3 linked regions of the Drosophila melanogaster genome follow. The protein of the gene in region 1 interacts with the protein of each later gene in a pairwise test. Each region holds a gene or a part of one and is shown on either strand. Other genes may lie near its edges.

Region 1 (4,796 bases):
CTGCAATGCCTTATCGCAGAGTCGTTTGAAAAGTGCCAGCGAGGATTTCAAAAGACACGTGAAATGCCTGAGCGAAATGAAGAAGGATCTGGATTACATATTCCGCAAGATACGGATCATCAAGCAGAAGCTACAGTCGCAGTTTCCCGCCATTTACGCCGAAGTTCAGCCGCAGCGTAGCAGTTTGGCTGAGGAAGCCGAGGATGATACGGAAGCCCAGGCTAAAAAGACTGCAGAAACACCTGCTCCTGCTGCCGCAAAACCTGTCCTATCCACCAAGAAAAGTGCCGCCACCATAGAGTACGTGCAGATGGAGGAGGCAGTGGACAATGGCACTGTGGAGATCGAAAACGAGCTGATCAAGCGAGTTTGTTCCGTGGAAACTGCCAATCCCAATGATTCCTCCGACTGCACATCCGAGGATACAGGTTAAGCCTAATTAGCTTTAGTCCCTCGATATATTTATCTTCATATAATAACTTATTGGTTTAATATTTGTATAACCTGCTACTACATACAAGGACACAATTCGTTTAGTTAGATTTAAATGAAATATGCGTAATAATTTAAGAAACTAATGGCTTAAAATATAATCTGGTACTTGTACTGCTTGGGCACCTTTGAGATTATGACGCGACCATCGTAGCTGAGCGAAGCAAAGATCCACGGATCCACATTGCTCCACTCCGCGCAGTAAACGGAGTCCTCGTGCTGATCGAAGGTCTGCAGCAGACCATCTGGCAAGAGTTTGTGCCTCTCCTCGGCATCGGCACCACTGAAGTTGGACTCATCTAGTCCAGCCTGAACCTGCGTCTCCGAACTAACCGATCCCGCACACGTGAGCAGCACCTTGCAGTCACTGGAGCTGGAGAGGATCAGTTGGTCGTGGAATGTGTTGAAGCGAACGCACCAGACCCAATGCGAATGATCGGAGCGCTCGAAAACGGGAGCCTTGGGCATGCGACAGTCCCAGATCCTCAAGTAGCCATCGTCACCGCCGGTGACCAAATGGCACTGCTTGTTGGGATTGCAGTCCAGGTCACGGACCATTTGACCATGCGCATCGTTGATGCTCCAGGCACAATGCTGTGTATCCCGCACATCGTAGGCACTTAGATTGCCATCCTGGAGGGTGAGAAACTGGTGGCCCTGATGATGATGCGACCACTTGCCGCTGGTGAAATGCTGTGTGTGCTTTGCAGATCCACTGGATGAACCACTGGCCGGCACCTCGGCCACCACGCGAGTAGAGGACTCGGCCCGCTGCATCACAGCCACCTTGTTGTCCACCACACAGGCGAGTGTGTCCTGGTTGGGATGGAATTCGATGGTCTTCACACGTTCGCCCAGTGCTTCGGTATCCAGGACCTCAACCTGCTCCCACGGCAGGTACTCTGACTTCAGCTGCTCCGGATCGGGATTGAGATTCTCGGGCAGCGTAAACAGAGCCGCTTTGGTCAGCACTTGTGCTCCCTTTTGTACATTGTAGACGGAGGCCAGCAGGCGAGGATTACGCGGACAACTATTTAGTTTCCAAACTTCACCCAGGGCGTGCTCAAAGACCTGTTCAAAGTTGTATGTTTAGCTCATACTTTGATCATCCCAGATATTCACCTTTGATTGCACGGATCCCTGCTCCTCCTCGTACTGGATTAAGTGAACCTGATTGGTGGGCTTCAAGGAGTTGGTGGCTATGAAGAAGCACACATCGTTGCTCTCTCCGTACTGAGGTGTTAAAGCCCGCGCCTGCAGTTCGAGTCCGTAGATTAAGCTATTTTCATCCATTTTCCACGATTTACTCAATGTTTTGATTTCGCTGGATATCTAGGTACGCAACTTACGTACACTAAACGGCGTACCTAAAAGTGTTGGTAAGCATTTATCACAAGGTGGCAGCCCTCGATCATATTACAAAACAATATATAATTTATTTTAATAAAATTAAAATATTTACATATATAAAGAGGCTTAAATATATGTGATTTAATATATTAAGCTCAAAATATAAAATAAATAATATTGGTATTCAAAATCCATTGATATAATTTGGTTACACTTAACGTTATGCCTTTTAAACGTGTAATAATTATACATACTTGGAATAGTAAGCTAATTATAGTATTAAGCTTAATACGTTTATAATCTTTACTTACCTTTGAAACATTTTCCGTTATCTCTCGGCCAGTGTGACCGTTCGACCACGCCAAGAGAGCGTATCGACTCCCCCCAAAAATAAATGAAATACAACCCTGTGCCCAAACACAGTTTCTTCTCGTTCTCCTTCCATTTTGTTTTCACACAAAAGTGAAAAAAAAAATATCTGAAAAAGCAACAGACGCGTATTCCGACCGATCAAACTAAATTTCCACTATACAGTACATATAATCACAATTGAGAATCGAAAACCCGACCGCCACGAAGCGCGCTAAATTACACGCACATACTGAAAGCCAAACAGCGGATAGCACTAGCATCCTACATATATAGACGTAGATATATAGTCATGGCGCAGAATATCAGCCCCGAGCAAAGTGGTGGAGCAGGCGGCGGCGGCAGCAAGCACAGCGATGACTCCATGCCCGTGAAAGACAATCACGCCGTGAGCAAAAGGTGAGTAGCACATGGTGCAGCCTAGATAATCCGCCAATATACACACACACTCACACTCACCCACAGACTGCACAAGGAACTGATGAACCTGATGATGGCCAACGAGAGGGGCATCTCAGCGTTTCCGGACGGCGAGAACATCTTCAAGTGGGTGGGCACCATAGCGGGTCCACGGAACACGGTGTATTCGGGGCAAACGTATCGTTTGTCACTGGATTTTCCCAATTCCTATCCGTATGCAGCACCCGTGGTGAAGTTCCTGACGTCCTGCTTCCATCCCAATGTTGATCTGCAGGGCGCCATCTGTTTGGACATACTGAAGGACAAATGGTCGGCCCTGTACGATGTGCGCACCATTCTGCTGTCCATACAATCCCTGCTGGGCGAACCGAACAACGAGAGTCCACTGAATGCGCAGGCCGCGATGATGTGGAATGACCAAAAGGAGTACAAAAAATATCTAGACGCCTTCTACGAGAAGCACAAGGACACCTAGAGTTTGGCAATTCGTTGTCATATATCCTATGCTCATATTGCGGCGTATTTATTTACATATAGTGCAAGCAACTCCACTCATCCGAAGACCTACTGCCAACCAACAAACCAATCATCAATCACCACCGTAACACAGTACCATCAGTTAAGTGGATCACCAGATCAATTTCAACAACGTTCAATGCTGATAGTTCATTTGGCAAAAGACCCCGTGCGTTTCTTATGTAATTGTCGATCGATTGACGGATAATCTGGTTTTTATTCTCATTTCTTTCCTCCTCCCTACAAATTAATGATAAATGAATGTATTGGTAATGTAATTTTAAAACTGTCATCCGTTCTTTAAGCTTAAGGATAAATTTTAGTTAATTGTTTTATATACGCATGATTACTTTTTTGAGAACTACTGCGAGTGCGCGCCATCGCCATCGCCATTTTTTTGTACTGATGATTTTTAAGCGACTATGCTGCTGCGCCGGCCATTATGTGAATGTTAGCTAATTTTAGGGCAGCCTCATCGATTCGTCAACCATTCGCGTCGTCTTAGTATCTCCAATTATGCGGCATTCTCCCACAATACTGGCATAACAAAATTCCAAGTAATTCGAATCATTGTAACAGTTGTGTTAGCTTGATGTTATTGAAACCACAAATAAAACGAATTATTGAACTACATCCATCGCTTTGTGTTTCCTCCCGTGAGCGTTGAGCTCCACGCTGTTCTGGAAAATGCGTCCGCATTTTCTGCATCTGAGCAGCAGATTCTTATTGCCGTGCTTGCGCAGCAGATGATCCACCATGTTCTCCTTGGTGTAGAATCTGCGATCGCAGCATTCGCAGCAGTATCTCCGACCCTCAACGCTACCATGGACCATCTTGTGGCGCGTTAGATGTGCCTTTCGCGCAAAGCACTTGCCACACTCCTCACAAATGTGCCGCGCATCCGGGGACTCTGACTCGTGATACCTTTCGTGCGTCCTTCTCATGTGATATTTGAGACTTCGGTTCGCTGTGTACACCTTGTTGCAGCTCGGACAGGCATAGATGATCCGCGCAGCGTCGGCATTGTTATGCATCTGCCGCAGGTGCGACTCCAGCAGATTGGCCCGGGCATAGCTCTTGGCACAATGGACGCAGGTATACGGTCTCAGACCCTCATGCTGCTGCATATGGGCCTCCAGCAGCGACGGTTTGTAGAAGCCACGGTGGCAAATTCGGCACTCGAGGGTGTGTCGCACTCCTCGTCGTTTTCTGGCACCCAGCAACTTGCTAGAAATGGATAGCTTCTCCTGGCCCAGATCCTGTTTGGCTGACTCGTCCTCTATTACGTAGACTTCCTCCTGGAAAATTTAGGGTATTATATATTTAATTACCATAGCAAACTGAATGGTGGTGGTTTTTTTTTTTTTTTGTGGGAATTCTGTACATATCTATTATGAAGGAATTTTTTATGTAAAAAGGGTCTAAGCATATAAAAACAAACTGCTTTTGGTTGAGTTAAGTAATTTGTAGTAAGGGTAGGAATTACATTATGTTTACTCATTACTTTAAAGTGGAAATTTTTCCTTAATTTGCTATTAAGATTATCTTATCGCTCGACTTAGAAGATGATAAAATGAAAGTAATATTTTGTGAACCGAACTTTTGGCGGTCACTTATCTGTTTAGTTTAGTTTTTTAATGCTAAAAATA
Region 2 (5,589 bases), on another chromosome or scaffold:
TGGACTCGTATCTAAGGCGCTAAAGAGTTTAAAAAATCCGTCATTTCATAATTGTTTGTTTATTAGCCACATTTTATGGACGAGGCACATGACAAGGCAAGCCAATTCAAAGTGAAATAAATCGCAAATATCGATTTGAAATTTCGCATTGCAATTGCAATGAAAACTGATGTTCACAAACAAACACATCATGTTTTTTATGGATGCCTTATTGGTACACTGTATGTAAGTGATTCGCAGAATTCGAGAAAATCCCGGGCGTGACCAAAAACCGGAACACCAAGTCAAGTAGCAGAATCTCCCTGCAAGGCGCAAACGGTTTTTTCCAGAAACAGGCGGCACAAAGAGTTCAATAAACTGCAACATAAATTCTTATGCTAAATAATTGCTATCATCGAGTGGTTTTTTTTTTTGTATAGGTGGGTTGTGAGGGGTGTTTACTTGTTCTTGGAAAATCACGAGGCTCTGGCTCAGGGTCAACAACGTGTTGTATGGCGCATTATTGGGCTTATTTTTAATATTATTCTTGCCTGTATGGGTGTGTGTATTCAAGTGCGTTTTCAATTACAGGTTCTTAAACAACGCTCTGCTGTTGAACTTCACTTTTTGTGTTTTGATTTAATTTCACTCTCACAAGATCGTTCACTTCGCAGCGGCACCTTTCGATTAGTACACAACTCTAAATCAACTCCGTTTCGCAGGCACTTTCTTTTCACTCACAAGGGTTTTTTTTATTATATGCTGATCTCGTTCGCAGTTCCACAGAACCTTTGCTAAAAACTGCGTCACACTTGGACAAAACACAAAAGCAATTTTTGAGCAATAATGATCACGCTTTGCACGCGAAATTGTCGAAAAAACACAGTGGGAAAAACGGGTAAAGCTCGACGATCGATCGATCGAGCTGCGCGCACGTCTGTCGGGTTCAACAATCGTCGGCTAACTGAATGCGAATAAACCGGAGACAACAACTCCATCAGCCCCCGACAACAAAACAACACAAGGCAGCACCCCCCTAAAGCCTCGTCCAATCCGATGGAGCATGAGCATAAGCTTTCGGAAGTTGTTTCAGACACGATTCGCTCGCATTGCTGATTAAAGATCTGACCTGGGTTCCGACCTGTCATTGCCGAAAATTGTAATTGATGGCCCAGCGGCTTCGAGAACGTGGCCTTGATATTGAAAATACTACTGTTCAACTATTACTTATCCGACAAGGAATGACTTATTTTAACTATAGCAGAAAGGTTTTTAATTCACCTGATTGTTTCAAATAGTACTTTATCTATGATTTCTTATAAACAAACCAAAGTTGAATACTCCCGCCAAGGATCGATATCTTTTTAAAGTACGGTAGATGTATATATAAAATCGATAGCTCTATGAACTGCTTACAAATGCCCATGTCTATGATCAATAAATATCACTAAGAACACATCAAATGTACTTTGTTACAATATTCAATAATCAATACTATACTAATATACAATAAATAAAAATATATCGTTTACTATAACAGGTCATCCCAAGTCGCACTGCTTGTCCGACGGCTTAACTCCATCTACACAGCGTCCATCTCTAAGTCCAATCGGCCAATCGATAATCGGACCTATCGACCTATTTTCAGCAGCCTAACTAAAGAAAAAAGGCAATATTTTGCAAAAAACATTCGGAAACGGTCGAAAAACACCCGCTTCATTGGCCAAAGGAGCCGTATTCCGTGCAACGCAAAGCGGCGACAAACCAGACAATTGCCGTGTGAGACAAATGTGCGCAAAATGAAAGTGACAATCAAGTCATGGACGGGAGTTGCAACTTGGCGTTGGATAGCGAATGACGAGAACTGCGGTATCTGTCGCATGTCCTTCGAGAGCACCTGCCCGGAGTGCGCTCTGCCCGGTGACGACTGCCCGCTGGTGTGGGGTGTATGCTCTCATTGCTTCCACATGCACTGCATCGTCAAGTGGCTGAACCTGCAACCGTTGAACAAACAGTGCCCCATGTGCCGCCAGAGCTGGAAGTTCAACGTGCATTAAGAAGCCCGCGTTATAGTTCTAGTTACTAAATACCCGTGAGGATCAGGATCAGCAGTAAGAAGAAACCGTAGAGACATAGTAAGCTTTATCAAATGATGGAGAACAGCAGCAACGATGCCCAGCCGCACTTGACGGGTCTGCCGCCACTGCCAAAAAGTCTGAGCGCCGCTACGGCGGCTCCTGTGGCCATTGGCCCCCATCCCCGCACAGCCTCGCCGGCGTCCAGTGTTAACGCACTGACCGTAGCCGCCGGAGAACTATACCTGGGCCCCTCCACCTCCTCGTCGGCGGCATCACGAAATCGTAGCTACAATGGACACGGACACAGCCAGCGGCACGGTAGTCTTTCGTCCACGCAGGAGTCGCTCAGTGATCGGGAATCTGTGCACAGTCGCGCTTCCAGCACCCACAGCGCTGGGGCTGTTCACACACCCACTAACAGCTCGAGCAGCACTGGAGCCACCTCGTCGACCATCGACAACCAGTTGGCCATTCTGCGACGGGAGATGTACGGTCTGAGGCAGTTGGATCTGTCGCTGCTGTCCCAGCTGTGGGCGCTAAACGAGTCGATACAGGGATTCCGTGTGTTCCTGCAAGAGCAGGACGCACTGTCGCCGCCCTCGAGGTCCCGTACTCCATCGGATGCGAATTCCTTGAGCTCCGACGAAGAGGACGATGGCTCCTATGCGCCAGTAGCCTTGCCTAAGATGACAGATACTGCCGGAGCTGGGAGTGCGGGAGTTGTGAATTCCAGGGCCATGGCCTCGCCGGCAGCCAGCGGAGGACTGCCCACAAAACTGGCCACTGGCTCGACCACTTCCCACGCCTCAACTAGCTCCACATCAGGAGCCTCTGGCTCCTCATCCGCTGCCTCCTCGATGGGGAAGCACCAACAAGTGCAGCAGCAACAACAGCAACAGTCGCAATCGGCTAACCACTACCATCAGAGGCCAGCGCCACCACCCGCACCACCAGCTCAGCACAAGGCGCATCCACAGTTGCCGCGCATCCTGCAGCAGCGCATGAGACAGGCACCGCCACCGCCGCCACCCACAAGGCAAAAGGCGGGCGGCGGTGGTGGAGGCGGAGCGAGCACCAGCAGCAGTAACCACAGCATCAGCAGTGTCACCCAGCCGCATCCACATTCACACCAACATCCCCAACATACCCACCATTCGCGACCTGTATGACAAAACCCGTTCTTGGACTAAGCCAAGTTCAAGAACATAAGCAGATTTACATAGCAGCCGCTGCCAACACTTCGGAAAGGGTCAATTAGACGACATTTCTTCAAGAGTCAATTCAAATTCAAGTGCAGAAAGATCCCACACACACAACACTCACTCTATCAACTCAACTATCAACTCATAAAGCTTGCCATGGTCCCTCGTTCTTGATATTGAATCTCGAAACATATGAACGGTTTATAAATGTTTTTTGCAAAACGATGAAAATGTCTTTGAATGTAAGCGTACCACTTTTCACGTTTAATATTAAATAATAAACACAAAAAATTTGTATTCAATAATAATCGCTAAGTAGTAAAGGATAAGATCCTTATATGCATCTATGTATTACTCAAATTGTATAAACATAAATCTAAAATGCTTGAAATTCCGCATCGAATTCATAGATCTAGTTATATTATTTGCGTTGACTCTGAAATGTTTTGTTAGAATGCATACTATCCAACAACAAAAACTAAATCAAATTGTTCCAACTCATGTAGCACTAACCAAAACTAAACTCTTGGCCTATACATATGAATATCTGGATTGATTTTATAGCCCTGTTAAGACTTAGTTTCGTAATGGCGTATCGATTGGAAAATTATATATTACGAACATGTATCTGCATCTCAAAAGCAAAATCTAGCTGATCTTACTGTTAGTCCAATAATCCTATCATTAAAAATACAACAACAAAAAAAACTAGGCATATATATGTAAAGCTCAAGTATTGGAGCAAATCCCCCGAGCAGTTGTGCAGTGCGTTTCAGATCTATAAGTCAGTTGCATGTTCCGCGAAGCAGAAAACCATTTTAAACTAGTTTCGGTTGTATATTTTTCCAATTTGTTCAAAAATCTTACTCCGCAATCATGGATAACTGCCTTGTAAATGTGGAACGCATTGCATATAATATTTATATTCTAAATACATATACAATTTTTACCAAGTAACAGTTACATTGATGAAAATGCAGTAGATACCATCGGTATCTCCCATATCACAAGCATAAAGCGGGAGATTGCGAAATGAAAACAGATTTACATATATTACCTAATCAAAAATGATACAATTTCCAATATTTATTGTTAGTTCTTAGATTGTTTTATTTCTCAAAACAAATTCCTTATAATCTACTAAAATTAAATCACCCTATGAAGTTAAACGATTGGAATTAAAATCCACACGATCATATTTGACTGTTCTTTATTTCGTTATCATATACACACTCCTCCAACAGAGACTACAAATCAAAATGTGCGGAAATTTGATACCAACCAGATCACAAAAGCATCGATATACAAGCAGAAATCATAAATATACTGCAGCACAAGTCGCAAAATGTAATCACTGATCAAGCTTTGAATATCTCGGCTGGAATATGACCTATAAGGATTTAATGTAAGGTTAACCAGTTAACAAATACATTTTCTTGAAAGCAATAGCTTATCATTTTCGATGGTCAGAAAATTTTAGAAGTCATGACTTGATTTCCGTTTTAGCAAGACCTTTAGAACTGTTTGGTAACCTATAATTTTTTATAGTGTATTGTATTCTATACTTTTTGTGTTGTATACAACAACAGCTTCCATTAAAGATCATATTTTATTCGAGTTATTCAAAGTAGCATACGGTTAGAAGCATCAAATAAATTTGAGATGAACTTTTGAGCGCTTTTGCTGTGTACAAAAAGGCAAGCAAGATATCGAAAATTTACACTGACCGAAACATATACAACTTTGTGGTTGAGATAGAAACACAATTCACGAAAGGCTATAATTTATACAATTTTGTTTATGACGAAAGTTGGTGGGTGAGATATCGTTAAAAAGTGTATTATGTAATGGCAATTTATTAATAAAACGAAACGAAACGATACGAATGAATCGATACAATAAATATCAATTTAAATATCAATGCGCATATGCTGTGAATTAATTATCGTTCTTATCAAGTTTATTTTGTTTGTTCCTAATGACAGACTAAACCAATATATTTGTTTTCGGGTTCTAATAACCTCAAGTCAAGTTTGGGATGGCTCAGTCTAGGTGCTAAACGTTCCACAGCAATCAGATGGGATTTCTGCAAAGGGATACAGTAAATTATAGTTAGCAGTTACTGTTTAAATTCAATTACTCACTGTCTGTTGGTCCCCAGCCCAATGGCACACCCAAGCGGCTATTTTCCTGCTTAAGCCACTGGTAGAGCGGTTCAAAGTACTCCAGCAGAGCGGCTGGGTCCATTTCCGTTTCGCCTGTAAACTCCTCCAACACCTCCTTCCAATGGCGTGAGTTGCCCTTTGAGAGGAACTGGCTCAGTGATCGTC
Region 3 (5,288 bases), on another chromosome or scaffold:
TGGCAGTAAAGTACCTCCACTCTCGATTCCAGACATACCGGATAGGGCGCTAGCGAGCCCCAAACGTAAGCACAATGTCACAAGTAATACCAAACACGCCCACACCCCAAATGCTGACGACATCAACGCCCATAGAACCCATGAAACCACCACCAGCGTTTCCCACGATGAGCGGCGCAAACATACACGAGCAGGCGTCCGATATGATACTGCGGGCCTCGACGATTTTCGAGGACGTCAAGCACGACGAGGCGAATGTGGAGAATGTGCCCCATCACGGAGTTGAGACTGAGCCTGAGGACGACTCGCACTACGGCGGGAACGGCAACTCTAAGATCCGCATAATGCCCAGTGTGAAGCTAATGGCCACGACGCTCGCCTCCGATCCCAAGCGCAAGTTCGTCTGCCCGTATGACAACTGTACAAAGAGCTACGGCAAGAGCTCCCACCTGCGGTCCCACCTCACCTGGCACACGGGCATCAAGCCCTTCGTCTGCAGCGAGCCCAAGTGCGGCAAGGGATTCACGCGCTCCGATGAGCTCAACCGGCACCTCCGGACGCACACCGGCGAGAAGCCCTTCGAGTGCATCCAGTGCACCAAGAAGTTTTCCCGCAGCGACCACCTCACCAAGCACCTAGCTACCCACGACCGCCAGCTAAAGGGCAGCACCCCGAAGCGAACAGTACCGAGCAGCAGTGGTGGAGTCCGGCTCAAGCCCCCGAAGAAGCAGATTCATTCGGAGTCGGACTCGGGCTTCCACTTCATGGCCGCCATGGTTGGTTGCGGGGAGCCGAGCATGAAGCACCACCACCAGCAGCAGCAGCATAACCAGCACCAGCAGCCCGTGAGCATTATCGACATCCACCACAAGCCGATAAAGATTAAGCTGGAACGGCCGGAGCACAGCGACAAGTACCAGATCGTATCTCCTGAACACCAGATGGATAACCATGGCCACAACCAGAGCCAGTTGCCCGATTTCCTTAACCAGGCGAAGCCCGAGGTAAAATACGAACCGACCGAAGAAATTGTAAATACCCTCTCTCAGCTACCGCCGGCGGACGGACCCGGCACGTATGGGATGCCCCAGTTCGTTCAGGATCGGCCTTTCTACTGCCGGCAGTGTGAGAAGCGGTTCAAGCGGCAGGACGACCTCAACCGACACATACGAACGCACACCGGGGAGAAGCCCTACGCCTGTCAGCAGTGCTGTCGCCGGTTTGTGCGGAGCGACCACTTGAAAAAGCATCAGCAGACGCATTTGAAGATACGATAGTTTCATAGTTACTCCTTACTCCTTAAGTCGCTAGCCATTGGCATCCGCATCCAATCGATATTGGCTACCACACGGGCGTGTGTCGGGTGACGCACACAGTACAATAAAATTAAATAAATTCGCAATCTAACTATATTCCTATGCAAGATCAGCGCCGGCTCTCAAATCTCAATTTGTATGTATGTATGTAAATAAGTCGTATGCAATTTAATTTTAGCTCTAACTGTTTGTGTTTGCCGGAACGTGAAGACATACATCTGTATTTCTGAAACTCTTGCTGTTTCTTATTTTCTGGCTACTAAGCTCCCCGTATCTATTAATATAATTTATTTTAGTAAAACTGTTATTTATATTTATGGGCTAATTGATGGGGAACTGATAGTTCATCAGGATCAGGACTCGATCCAGTTTGAAATTTGGAATATGATTAATAATGGCCTATAAGAATGAATAATAGATATATGTATAATTTCTGATAAATCAAAGATTCATCGACTATCGGTTCGGTTGATAGAATCGACTTATCGATAACAGCATTATCATCACCATTGGCGTTTGATTCAGAGTTTCAAGCAATGTTTTGCACTGTTTAAAATAATTACACACAAGCGATGTGCGACTTTGACGCTTTGTGGGCGGATGTACTGAGAATCTTTCCGGTTTTGGGTGGAGCGGTAGGTTTATTCCTTCGGTTCAGTAATAGGGATTGGCGCTAGCACTCAGAAACTCTTACAGAACGCTGTATCCAATGATCCGGTTGAGGAGAATGTATTCCAAAATGTTCGCCAGCACCTGATGGTGTTGGGCAGCATAGACACCTTCGCGGCGGTTGTGGACCTGGAAATCCAGTCGACTATTCGGAATGTCCTGGTGCCCAAGTTCTGGAAGCACATCCACGACGGCTTGGTCTCGTCTAAATTGCAGGGCTGGATTAACGACCAAGCTCTGGCCATAGAAGCACTGCCCGATAAGAACGGACTGTTCACCCAGTTCATCGACGCCATCAATGAGCTGCATGACAGCTTTCAGAGCCTGATGCAGGTGAAGCCCAGGCTGATCCAGCTAGTTGGAGCTGAGACAAAGCCCACCGCAAAGACGGTGAAGCTCATGCAGGAGGAAGGCATTAAGAACTGCTTAAGGGACTGCTTGCTGGCTCAACTGCCACCCAATTTCAGTGTGGTCGTTGGGGCCTTCTACTGGGTGCACTTTAAGCTCTTCACCAAGGCCTCAAATCTCGCATTGACCACAGTTGGTATGTATCCGATACATACTCCTGTGGTTCCCATGCTCACTTGCTTTCCCCTTCAGACTCTGATGTTTTCGATGAGCTCCTCTGCGTTGGCTGCAACTTCGAAGCAGAGCAATGCTGCTGCCAAAGGCTGACGGATATGGTTAACAAGACAAACATGAAGCTCTTCGAGATGAACCTCATTGACCGTCTAACTGGGAGTGCTTTAACCGCTCTCATCAAGCTTAAAATCAAGGAGCACATCAGCGATACATGCATGGGAATCTTCGACAGAAGTCATCTTAAGCAACTGGAAACTGTAAGTTGAATGGGAATACCTTCTGTTGTCATAAATAAACTACTTAAGTAACTCATTTATTACCTACCTTTGCAGTGGCTATCGGATGTCATAATGTCCTGGCTCACAAACATATTCACGGAATGGAAGTCTAAGGATAGCATAAGCGATATCGAAGTTCCCGAGTCTGTAAAATCCTTCAAAGTCAAACTGACTTACTTTATGTACGAAACGTTTGCCCAAAGCGTTATTGGTCAGTTCTTCAGCATTATAATTGGTATGTGCCCGTAGATTCAGCCAAGAGTCCCCCAACTACATGTATTTATTTGTAAACAGACTATCCCGATTCCATTCCGGCTATAGATGACTTAAAGATTTGCATGGAGAAAATAGATATGCGAGTCTACCTCACTGAATCCCTTAGGAACTCGCTAGAGGCAAGGATTCTGCATCCTGGAGTCAACACCATGGACATATTAACGGGTTACGTGGCAGCCATCAAAGCTATTCGCCATCTGGATAGTACCGGAGTCATCTTAGAGATGGTAACTGCTCCAATCAAAGATTACCTGCGGAAACGAAACGACACAGTGCGACGCGTAGTCACTGGGTTGACTGAAGAGGGGCCCACGGACTTATCCGAGGAACTCGCCAAGGGAGAAACAATTAAGGAATGCAAGGACTCGGGTACCGATGAGTTCAGCAACTGGGAAAATTGGCAACCCGATCCGTTTGGTATAGATGCCAGCATTATGCAGTACAACAGCTCGCGGAAGATGAGATCGGCCGACATTATATCGATGGTTGTAGACATATACGGCAGTAAGGAGTTGTTTATGACAGAGTATCGCAATCTAATGGCGGACAGACTGCTGGCCCAGTTAGATTTTAATTCCGAAAAAGAAATTCGAAATCTGGAACTGCTGAAAATCCGCTTTGGCGAATCGCTGCTGCACAGCTGCGAGGTGATGTTGAAAGACGTAACCGACTCCAAGCGAATTAACGCGCACATCCACAGCGATGGCGACCGAACTGAAAGTGAGTTACTTTTAATTTTCAAAATGCTTTAACGAAACCATCTCATTTTAGATCAGTTGTTCGACATCTCCTCGCTGATTGTTTCTGCTCAGTTTTGGCCGTCCTTCAATAAAGAAAGCCTCCAACTTCCTGAGGAGATTGAGAATGAGTTCAAGAAGTACACCAAGGCCTACGAGGCATACAAGGGCAACCGTACGCTCAACTGGCGTACAGTGACTGGCCGTGTAAATATTGAAATCGAGATCGGTGACCGGACCATGGAAATGGTTGTGAGCCCCATTTTGGCGGTTATTATATACCACTTTCAAACTAAGAGTACGTGTTTACAGGGCAGTCAAGTTTTACAGTTTTACAACCGCATGGTCATATTTTTTTTTCAGATGAATGGACTATCGAGGATCTTAGTTCCATTACGAAAGTTCCAGCGTCTGCACTGCGGCGTCGTCTGAGTTTTTGGCAAAACCACGGATTGATCTCGGAAACGACACCCGGAATATTCACGCTGCTGGAAAAGGAATCGGAGAAGTCTCAGTACGAGGACATGAGTCTGGCAGAAGCTGACGAAGAGGATTTGGAATCCGCAATGGCTTCTGCCAGCGATCAAAGGGAAGAAGAACTCCAAGTAAGTGCCTTCAACTGTTCCTAATTCCGGCTTTTTCTTATACAATTATGCCGCAGGTTTTTTGGTCCTATATTGTTGGAATGCTCACGAATCTTGACTCCATGCCAATTGACCGAATCCACCAGATGCTGAAGCTGTTCGCCTCCCACAGCGGCGGAGTGGAGTTTACTCAGGATGAGCTGAAACACTTTCTCCAGCGAAAAGTCAGGGAGCACAAGCTAATATTCTCGGGTGGAGTTTACCAATTGGCCAAATAAGTTTCGGAGATCCAAAACCAAGTTGCAAACGACTGAAGGAATCATGAAATAAATAATGAATTAACGCGATAACATTTATGAAATTTACTGCTCCATGTTAAACGTACCTATTTTTTCAAACTGCCGTCTTATCTGTTTCTATTCAGAGCTTATCTCTCACCCACGTACACACAAAGTCTTTACCCAAACTTGTTTGGCTTGGGAATTTGGAACACAATGCAAGCAATCTTATGTGAAAAGAAGAACACACAGTAAAATACGTCTATTGCTTAATTTATTTCAAGTTATATTAAGGTATATGCTAATCCCGTTATCAACAAATTCAAACTTCTTAGGGCTCTAAAACTAAAGGCGAAGAAAAGTGTACGTGGTTTTGATATACTTTACAGGTTAAACAGTTTTTGGCTTCATAAAATCAATCACGAACGCAGTGGCTAAATCGATCACTTTATACACGCAAACAACTTGGAATTTAATGCTGTAATCGTTCTAAACTGTAATCTGTACATCAAAAGTTACTTCAGGTATGCGGACCAGCTAGTCCTCGTGCAAGAATCGAGCTTGGTAG

What was found.
Region 2: the proteins of vih (region 1) and lmgA interact in a two-hybrid assay, tested with the Drosophila melanogaster proteins (one study listed by BioGRID).
Region 3: the proteins of vih (region 1) and mr interact in a two-hybrid assay, tested with the Drosophila melanogaster proteins (one study listed by BioGRID).

What each region holds. Positions count from the first base shown.
Region 1 is NT_037436.4:12,502,043-12,506,838, forward strand, and holds vih (vihar), read left to right. Parts: upstream 1-2,249; 5' UTR 2,250-2,503; coding exon 2,504-2,610; intron 2,611-2,676; coding exon 2,677-3,106; 3' UTR 3,107-3,767; downstream 3,768-4,796. Other genes in the region: CG10681 (uncharacterized protein), read left to right, coding at 1-433; CG10646 (uncharacterized protein), read right to left, coding at 583-1,563, 1,615-1,785; CG10654 (uncharacterized protein), read right to left, coding at 3,768-4,445.
Region 2 is NT_033779.5:8,524,499-8,530,087, reverse strand, and holds lmgA (lemming A), read left to right. Parts: upstream 1-1,582; 5' UTR 1,583-1,778; coding exon 1,779-2,036; 3' UTR 2,037-2,128; coding exon of another isoform or gene 2,129-3,226; 3' UTR 3,227-5,089; downstream 5,090-5,589. Other genes in the region: lmgB (lemming B), read left to right, coding at 2,129-3,226; Acer (Angiotensin-converting enzyme-related), read right to left, coding at 5,308-5,345, 5,404-5,589.
Region 3 is NT_033778.4:23,970,621-23,975,908, forward strand, and holds mr (morula), read left to right. Parts: upstream 1-1,810; 5' UTR 1,811-1,888; coding exon 1,889-1,951; intron 1,952-2,012; coding exon 2,013-2,529; intron 2,530-2,585; coding exon 2,586-2,824; intron 2,825-2,899; coding exon 2,900-3,080; intron 3,081-3,139; coding exon 3,140-3,841; intron 3,842-3,892; coding exon 3,893-4,156; intron 4,157-4,221; coding exon 4,222-4,463; intron 4,464-4,519; coding exon 4,520-4,720; 3' UTR 4,721-4,788; downstream 4,789-5,288. Other genes in the region: CG3065 (uncharacterized protein), read left to right, coding at 75-1,277; PPP1R15 (protein phosphatase 1 regulatory subunit 15), read right to left, coding at 5,258-5,288.